Arabidopsis thaliana: one gene and its partner. The protein of the gene in region 1 interacts with the protein of each later gene in a pairwise test. Each region holds a gene or a part of one and is shown in the gene's direction. Other genes may lie near its edges.

Evidence for each region.
Region 2: the proteins of smB (region 1) and AT5G62290 interact in a two-hybrid assay, tested with the Arabidopsis thaliana proteins (one large-scale study listed by BioGRID).

The regions. Positions count from the first base shown.
Region 1 is NC_003075.7:11,021,358-11,025,692, reverse strand, and holds smB (small nuclear ribonucleoprotein associated protein B), read left to right. Parts: upstream 1-1,841; 5' UTR 1,842-2,076; coding exon 2,077-2,850; 3' UTR 2,851-2,854; exon of another isoform or gene 2,855-2,958; 3' UTR 2,959-3,657; downstream 3,658-4,335. Other genes in the region: AT4G20450 (Leucine-rich repeat protein kinase family protein), read left to right, coding at 1-209, 283-482, 577-703, 785-850, 955-1,144, 1,231-1,639.
Region 2 is NC_003076.8:25,017,110-25,021,719, forward strand, and holds AT5G62290 (nucleotide-sensitive chloride conductance regulator (ICln) family protein), read left to right. Parts: upstream 1-2,065; 5' UTR 2,066-2,458; coding exon 2,459-2,625; intron 2,626-2,702; coding exon 2,703-2,826; intron 2,827-3,058; coding exon 3,059-3,167; intron 3,168-3,276; coding exon 3,277-3,336; intron 3,337-3,428; coding exon 3,429-3,494; intron 3,495-3,600; coding exon 3,601-3,692; intron 3,693-3,791; coding exon 3,792-3,863; 3' UTR 3,864-4,022; downstream 4,023-4,610. Other genes in the region: AT5G62280 (DUF1442 family protein (DUF1442)), read left to right, coding at 56-112, 223-876; AT5G62300 (Ribosomal protein S10p/S20e family protein), read right to left, coding at 4,279-4,421. UniProt on the Arabidopsis thaliana protein: May participate in cellular volume control by activation of a swelling-induced chloride conductance pathway.

The DNA.
Region 1 (4,335 bases):
CAACATGGAAAAGAATGGGCTAATAACGTTGCTGTATAATGGAAATAACCTCTGTTTGGATCCATCATGCGAAAGTGAAACTGGTCCTGGGAATAACAAAAAGAAATTGCTAGTACCTATTCTTGCATCAGCTGCTTCTGTGGGAATTATTATAGCTGTGCTTCTTCTCGTCAACATTCTCTTACTTAGAAAGAAGAAGCCATCCAAAGGTAAGCTCAGGACTAATTAAAACTCATTAACTTCAAATTTGTACTTAAGTATATAATGTATGGTATATAATAGCTTCACGCTCATCAATGGTGGCGAACAAGAGAAGCTATACTTATGAAGAGGTTGCGGTAATTACAAACAATTTTGAGAGACCTCTTGGCGAAGGAGGATTTGGAGTCGTGTACCACGGTAATGTAAATGATAACGAACAAGTGGCTGTAAAGGTGCTCTCTGAATCCTCAGCTCAAGGATATAAGCAATTTAAAGCTGAGGTACCTTCACTATCATTAAGTTTAATTATTCATATACTCAAATAAAATGTATATATATGATTTACCAACTTTTGGGTTACTTGTGGTTTGCTAGGTAGACCTTCTTCTCAGAGTACACCACATAAATTTAGTAACTCTTGTTGGTTATTGTGACGAAGGACAACACTTGGTCCTCATCTACGAGTACATGTCCAATGGAAACTTAAAACAACATCTATCTGGTAACCTTGATTACCTAATTTGTTTCTAAACACAATGATCGTGTGTCATCTTATAACATACACACATCTTTATGAGTACAGGAGAAAATTCTAGGTCCCCTTTGAGTTGGGAAAATAGGCTAAGAATTGCTGCAGAGACAGCACAAGGTTCGTTTGAAGTTTTGAGAAAAAGATAACATTGCAAATTTTTTGAGATGTTCACTTCTCTTGGTGAGTTTTGAAATAAACCTTTTATGAGTTGTATTATATAGGACTGGAGTACTTGCATATCGGCTGCAAACCACCAATGATTCATAGAGATATCAAATCTATGAATATACTTCTTGATAATAATTTCCAGGCCAAACTTGGTGATTTCGGGCTTTCAAGATCTTTTCCGGTGGGAAGTGAAACTCATGTGTCAACAAATGTTGCTGGATCTCCAGGTTATCTTGACCCTGAGTAAGTGGTCTATAACAATACTTAATGAACTTAAGTTGTGTCTTTCTCTTTCCATCTGGTAAATTTTTTATTCATTCGTATTATAGATATTACCGAACAAACTGGTTGACAGAGAAGAGTGATGTCTTCAGTTTTGGAGTCGTATTACTGGAAATCATCACAAGTCAGCCAGTGATTGACCAAACTCGTGAGAAGTCTCACATAGGAGAATGGGTGGGATTTAAGTTAACCAATGGAGATATCAAAAATATTGTGGATCCAAGTATGAACGGTGATTATGACTCTAGTTCATTGTGGAAGGCTCTTGAGTTAGCAATGTCATGCGTCAGTCCATCTTCATCCGGAAGACCAAATATGTCCCAGGTTGCTAATGAACTACAAGAGTGTCTCTTAACTGAGAACTCAAGGAAAGGAGGGAGACATGACGTGGACTCCAAGAGTTCTCTTGAACAGAGCACAAGCTTTGGTCCTGAACATATCCCTGATGCACGCTAGTTCATGCCAAGTTCAGGAATACACGTGTGTTTTGAATAACAAAATATTTCCTTATTCAATGTATCAGATTTGTTTTAATCTTGTTGAACTTTACACATTTGTTCCCGATTAAACTTTGACATTTGCTGATTTGCTCCATAAAATAAGCTTAGTGAAACTTGGAGCCTCAAACTAACAAATATTGTAGCCTATTCAACTAATTGCAGCCCAAGTCCAATATGTTTGGGCCCATAATGAAAGTAAGCCCATAAACAAGAGTGTATTCATTTATAAACCCTAGAAATTTCCCACTTCCCGATTTGCACAGCCAAACCCCCCCAATTTTGGCCTCTCGATTTAGTTTTTTGAAACCCTAAGCTCGATTTCGATCCTCCGGCATACTCGGTTTCGCCGCCGAATCTCTGCTTGTAGCGAGTGTTACTATTCAATCGGCGAGAATGTCGATGTCGAAGAGTTCAAAGATGCTTCAGTTCATCAACTACAGGATGCGAGTGACGATCCAAGACGGAAGACAGCTCGTTGGGAAGTTCATGGCGTTTGACCGTCACATGAACCTCGTTCTCGGCGATTGCGAGGAGTTTCGTAAGCTTCCACCAGCTAAAGGGAAGAAGATCAACGAAGAGCGTGAAGATCGCCGTACGCTAGGTTTAGTGTTGCTTAGAGGTGAAGAAGTTATCTCAATGACTGTCGAAGGACCACCTCCTCCTGAAGAATCTCGTGCTAAAGCTGGCTCTGCAGCTGCTGTTGCTGGTCCAGGAATTGGCCGTGCCGCTGGGCGTGGAGTTCCTACTGGTCCGTTAGTTCAAGCTCAGCCTGGTTTATCTGGTCCTGTTCGTGGTGTTGGTGGACCTGCTCCGGGAATGATGCAGCCTCAGATCTCTCGTCCACCACAGCTTTCAGCTCCTCCGATTATTCGACCTCCGGGACAGATGTTGCCACCGCCTCCTTTTGGTGGTCAAGGTCCTCCTATGGGAAGAGGTCCTCCACCGCCTTATGGTATGAGGCCACCGCCACAGCAGTTTTCTGGACCACCACCGCCTCAGTATGGGCAAAGGCCAATGATTCCTCCTCCTGGTGGTATGATGAGAGGACCTCCTCCTCCACCTCATGGAATGCAAGGACCTCCTCCGCCTCGCCCTGGAATGCCTCCTGCTCCTGGTGGTTTTGCTCCACCGCGTCCTGGCATGCCACCACATAATCAGCAGCAGTGATTAGGTTAGCAGTGAATGAACAGGACTCTTGTCTCGGCTTTTTACTGTTTTTGTCGCTGTTTTCTTGAGATTATGAAGGCTTTAAGATGTTTGATTGAACTTCCTCAGGTTTACGGTATCGTGCTATCATGTTGCCTTTCATTGACTTTAGCCGCAATTTCTCATCTATCTTAGCTTTCAAAGTTTGTAGATTTGTTGACGAGTGAGTTGTCTTTGCCTTATCTTCTTGTGTTTTCTTTTAAGAACGAATCCATTAAACTTTGTTATGTCTTCTTAAGGTAAACATCTATCTTGAGGATCGTTTTACATTGCTAACTCTTTTGAGGTTGAAACAGCAACTTTCTTGCGCCATTTCGAGGAACTTAATAACATCTTAGAAAGCTAGAAACTAAGCTAGTGATCACATCTGAATCTTACTCGAACAAGGGCTAAATCGGTTCTACTATTGATCACCTCTCTTGTCCTTGTTTATGGATTGTTTAGGTAGAAGTCAAAACCTTGTTTAGGGAGCTATGGATGTTGTGATGAATCGTGGATACATTCAGCTATTTGTGATGAAGAACTCGTCGATCTATAAAAAGATTAACAAGTCACATTACCTTGCAATTTTGGATATAGTTCAAATCTAACCAAAATTCTGTTGGTTCAGTTTGGTTGGGTTTCACATTCTTACATATGTTAATTTTGATGAAATGAAATTGTGAATTAGTGTGGTTAGTTGAATGGTAAGTAATACTTGTTTATAGTGAATTATTTTTCAGAACTTTCAATTATTCAATAAGGCTTGGTCACTAACCAAGATTTGACAAGTGAGAACGTATACAAATGGTGTTGACTTACACTGCACACTGCGATTGTTTGGCTGTGTAAGAATTGTGCCGTTGAAGGTTAAAGATAGAAAACAAAACAAAAGTACGAAAGGTAATAAAAAAAAGTCAAAAACATAGGTGTGAGTGTGACCCATTAACACTCCTAATGATGCTTCACGTTAACCCCACCATTGCTAAATCTCAGCTTTATAATTTTAAAAGATCAAAAGAATATTACAAGGCTGCGACAACTTTAAAGGTTAATATATAGTCGTTACTTGTTTATTTCTTAATCGGAGATTCGGTATGATACTCATTATTACGGATTGGAGTTTTCATTTAGTATCAGACTATTTCTTATTGATAAGGTTTATATACATGCTTAAAATCAAGAAAAATCGAATACTTGTTATTGTTACATTGTTTTCTTTTAAAATTTCAGTGCAAAACTGTGGAACTGAATTAAGTAAAAAAACTATAAAGAGGATAGAAATGGGACCCGACGACAAGTTCCAACAGCTAAATTTTGCAAAACTCTGGTTTTTCAATAACACTGTGCTCGTCCTTTTCATTGCCTCTTTCGTTCTGGGACCCTGTGGTGTAGTTAAAACGTTCAAAAATATCCACAGAATCCAAGAAACCAAAAAAAAAGGTTTCAGATTCTCGTGAGTTTTGT
Region 2 (4,610 bases), on another chromosome or scaffold:
GAGATTGAGAGAAATCGGATTTTCTTTCTAAGACTCAAAATATCTAAAAACAATAATGGCTTTTTGGTCTGCTGAGAATGCTACTAAAGCCTATCTTAGTACATTGAAAACGGTAAGAGTTTATTCTTATAACCAAAACATTTACCCGTGATATTGTTTCAAATTACGATAAAAGATTAGTTAATGTCACATTTTGACATATTTCTCTATATGCATTTTCAGGATCAAAGGACAAAAGAACCAAACGTCGCCGAATTCATATCAGCCCTAGCCGCCGGAAATAGCGCTAGAAAGATAGCCGTGGCTTGCGCCGGAGCAGCAAACGCCGACATACTCGTTGCACTAATCGCAGCGGCTAACCAAACGCGTGGTCAAGTTGTATGCGTTTTACGTGGTATCGAAGAACTAATCATATCCCAAAAAATGTTGGAACCATCAGAGATTCATCAGATACAATTCGTAGTCGGAGAATCTAACGACGACACTCTAATCAATAATCATTTCGGAGAAGCAGATTTCGTCCTCGTGGATTGTAACCTCGAAAACCACCAAGAGATCGTTGGAAAAATCCTTAATCATCACGAAGAAAACGCAAGAACCGGGGGTGGAAGCGGTGTGGCGGTTGTGGTGGGTTATAACGCGTTTTCGAGAGGGTCATGGAGGTTTAGCGATGGAAGGAAAACGCAGTTTTTACCTATAGGAGAAGGGTTACTTGTGACGAGGGTCAATGATAATCAGAAGATGATGATGAAAAATCACCATCGTGACCAAGTGATGAGGAAGAGTCGTTGGGTGGTGAAGGTTGATAAGTGCACTGGAGAGGAACATGTGTTTAGGGTTAGGGTTCCCCGAGGAGAAGCCATTATTGAAGCTTAAATTCAAATCTTATAGATTATTGGGTACGTTAGAGCAAAGATGATCACCTCTGTGATGGTTCAGACGAGTGAAAGTAGTAATTAAGAAGATGATTAGTTATTTTGTATAAGTAATTATATTAAGAGAGTTTTGATTGGCTTTGGAGTATTTTGTGTGGTGAGAAGAGTGAAAAAGTCTATGTTTTTCGAGTAAATGACTTTTTTTGTAAGTGTAAATATGAAATGATGTGTTTTGGTTTAAACTTCTCTCTGATTTTGGATTTTTTTTTTTTTTTTTTTTGTCTTTTCTTGAGCATATGTACACGCATTGTTATTCTTCAGATTTTGGATGTTTAGCAAATAAGATATTCAAAAAATGCACATGCATGCATGAGAGATGGCATCTGAAACTAATATAATGAAACATTAAAGTAAGCATATGTATTTAGCTGTCTTATACAGATTCTCAAAATAGATGTAGACGTATATTATTGAGAATTGACAAAAAAAAACGTATATTATTGAGTTGTTGAGTCTAATTTTTTTTGTTGACACTATTTAAAACCGACAAGCACGTCAAACAGATATTAGTAATAGTATATAGGGTCTTCAGACATGTATTCGTTTGCCTTAAAATTGTATTTTAAAAAGATCTTCTTCTTTTTTTCATCACCGTTACCTTTATTATAAAACCAAGAAGATTAATATATAGTGAAATCCGTAAAGACGAAAAATTAACGTAGTTCTTATATTGAAGATGAACTACCAAAATCTAATTAATTCTTATGTGATTTTGTTAATCATTGTCTTGGAATTCACTATATAATGAAGTTCATCATCTCTAAGGAATGGTTTTACTTTGGTCCGATTCTTTCGACTTTTGGTCGTTCCATTTCTCATTGAATCAAATCTATGCCCAAAGGTAAAACATAATCTTCTACAGTACTTTTAGATATATGATCCAAATTCTCATCGACCTAAACTTATAAGTCATTGAATTCAACTAGGCTTGTGCACATAGCTGGGAGGCACCAAATAAACTCCTTCTTCGAAGTAGACAACTCGTAATGAATGTATATTATTTTTATCAACCGACATCTCCGTTAAGAAAATAGATAACAATTTGAAGAGAAGAGTCGTTGTTGACAATGATCCGTTCATTAATATAAAGCATTGTCACAATCTCTATATGTCCCATAACCTTCCCCTATCCCCATGAATGACCACCCCCATCTCTTCCTTATCCATCATCTCCCACACCTCATCACTCTCAAAGACAACGACATTTTTCACCCATAAATATATTTACATAACAAAATTTATTCGAAACAACATTAATCAACAACCAAACATTACATTCACACAAAGTAACAAAAAAGGTTCAAGGGAAATGGACCACCAGAGAGACTTATCTGATCTCAATAGTTTAGTGGGCTTATGTTTTAATGTAGTATGGGCTTTTTTAACGAAGCCCATTTTGTCAAAAGCCTTGTAGTGTTCTTCATCAGTAAACGTAACAAATCATTCCTCTGAGAAACCCTAAGAAAAACCCTGCCTGAAAATCTCTGTTTTTTTTGACGATTCTTTCTTTGTGATCGGAAAAAATGGTGGCTGGTCTAAGAGATTTCACGCTCAGAACCGAAGATGGCTCCGGGAAACCGGTACTGGATGAATCTAACGGCGAGGAACTTATGCACGTTCAGACTTCCGTCGCCGTCGCTCTCGGAAACCGTCCCATTGAGTCTCCCGGAACTCTCTACATCACTTCCAGGTACAAAAATTAACTCAAAATCTAGTCCTTCTCGATTGAGATAAATGTCTTAGCTTAATTTTGTGATTTGATTTCAGGAAATTAATTTGGCTGAGCGATGTAGACATGGCTAAAGGATACGCAGTTGATTTCTTATCAATATCGCTTCACGCTGTTTCTAGAGATCCTGAGGCTTATTCATCTCCTTGTATATATACTCAGGTATTCAACTCTTGCAATTTTTCTGGGTTTTGTTAGACTTGGTAGCTTAAAAGGGAATTAGTGTTGTTCTCGTTGATTGTGATTAGTTCTTAGGCCTGTACTGTAATGTTGCTTGTTGCAAGTGCTTGCTGGAATTTGAGAAAGTGGCTTACACGTTTTAATTGGATTTGAGAGGTGTGATTAAGTCTTTTCTGTTCTCATTTTGCTAAGTTTTTGGTTTAATGTTTTGAAGATTGAAGTTGAAGAAGATGAGGATGATGAGTCTGATTCAGAATCCACTGAAGTTTTGGACTTATCAAAGATCAGAGAGATGAGGCTTGTTCCTTCTGACTCTACCCAGTGTGAGTTGTTATGTAGCAATCTTTAGAGCTATTAGAATCGGCTGTTTCATTATATAAGAGTCTTGGATATTATTAAGCTGATATATCGTTTTGTCTTGTCATATGAAAGTGGAGACGCTGTTTGATGTATTCTGCGAGTGTGCTGAGCTGAATCCTGAACCAGTTCAAGGTAAAACATATAATTACTGGTTTAATAGTATCACTAATTGCATTTTTTGGTTACCTAGCCATTTATATCTTTGGTTTCATTGCATCTTTCAGAAGAAGAAGAAGAAAGCGGACATAATTGGGTGTTTAGTGCTGATCAGATGGATGTTCGTGGAGGAGGTAATTAATGTTTTCATATGACTTAGACCGAATTAAAGAGTGTGTTAATGTATTCATCTTGAATGGTACGAATGAAATGTGATGGTTTTCTATGTGTTTGCAACAGATGATGATGCAGAGTGGCAAATATCTCAGAGTCCGACTAGTGTAATTGGTCATTCCAATGGAGATGAAGGTCTTAATCAGCCTATGCTTGAGGTAATACAAAGTTACAAAACTCTGCTTTCAATTTTTCCTCTTTTTTTGTTTTTAAAAAATTGAGCGTGGTTTCATCTGCCTTTTGTATTCACACTGCAGCTCCAAATCAATGATCAGAGGTTTGAGGATGCTGAAGAGATGGTTCATGAAAGTGAGACCAAAGATCACTAGACTCTTCACAATTGTACTCGAAAACATAGTAGTTGTGTTATTTTAACGATGAAAGAGTTGTATTATGTTCAACGATAAAGTATTATGTTCGTGATACTTAGCTTTTCAATTTATGGCTGATTAAACTTTAATCTTTCTCGTAATAGATCTCTCAATTTGAAATGAGATAGCAAGTTGGTAACTTCATACAGAGTTATGTCATCGAGAGGGTCAAAAGATCTCAAGTTAAGAATAAAGGACGAACTTCTAATTAAAAAATTCAAAATCTATTAAATTAAGAAAACATAAGAACTTGGGTTTCACTACAACAAAACATTTGTTTTTTTTTTAACTCAAAAGGAATGTCGTTACGGGAAAAGAAGATTGTTTCTTAAGAGAATTTGAAAAGAGATACCAAAGCCACAGAAGGGTTGATCTACGAGTCAGCGATGGTGACCTCAACTTCAACACCAGGTTCAATGGTGATGGAGGTGATCTGCTTGACCACATCAGGAGAGCTGAAAAGATCTATAACTCGCTTGTGTACCCTAAGCTCGAATCTGTCCCATGTGTTGGTTCCTGTTTACAATACCAATAGTTAAGAGAGTTTCAGCAAATGTGAAGACACTTGCAGTGACAGAGTATAAAACAGTATTGAGCACAATCACAAATTCTAAGACCTAAATCCTAGGTTTAATAGAGCAAATGAACTAAGGGAGTGGTTCCAACAACAAGCTCTAGTGATTCTGAAGGCAATATAAAAGATGA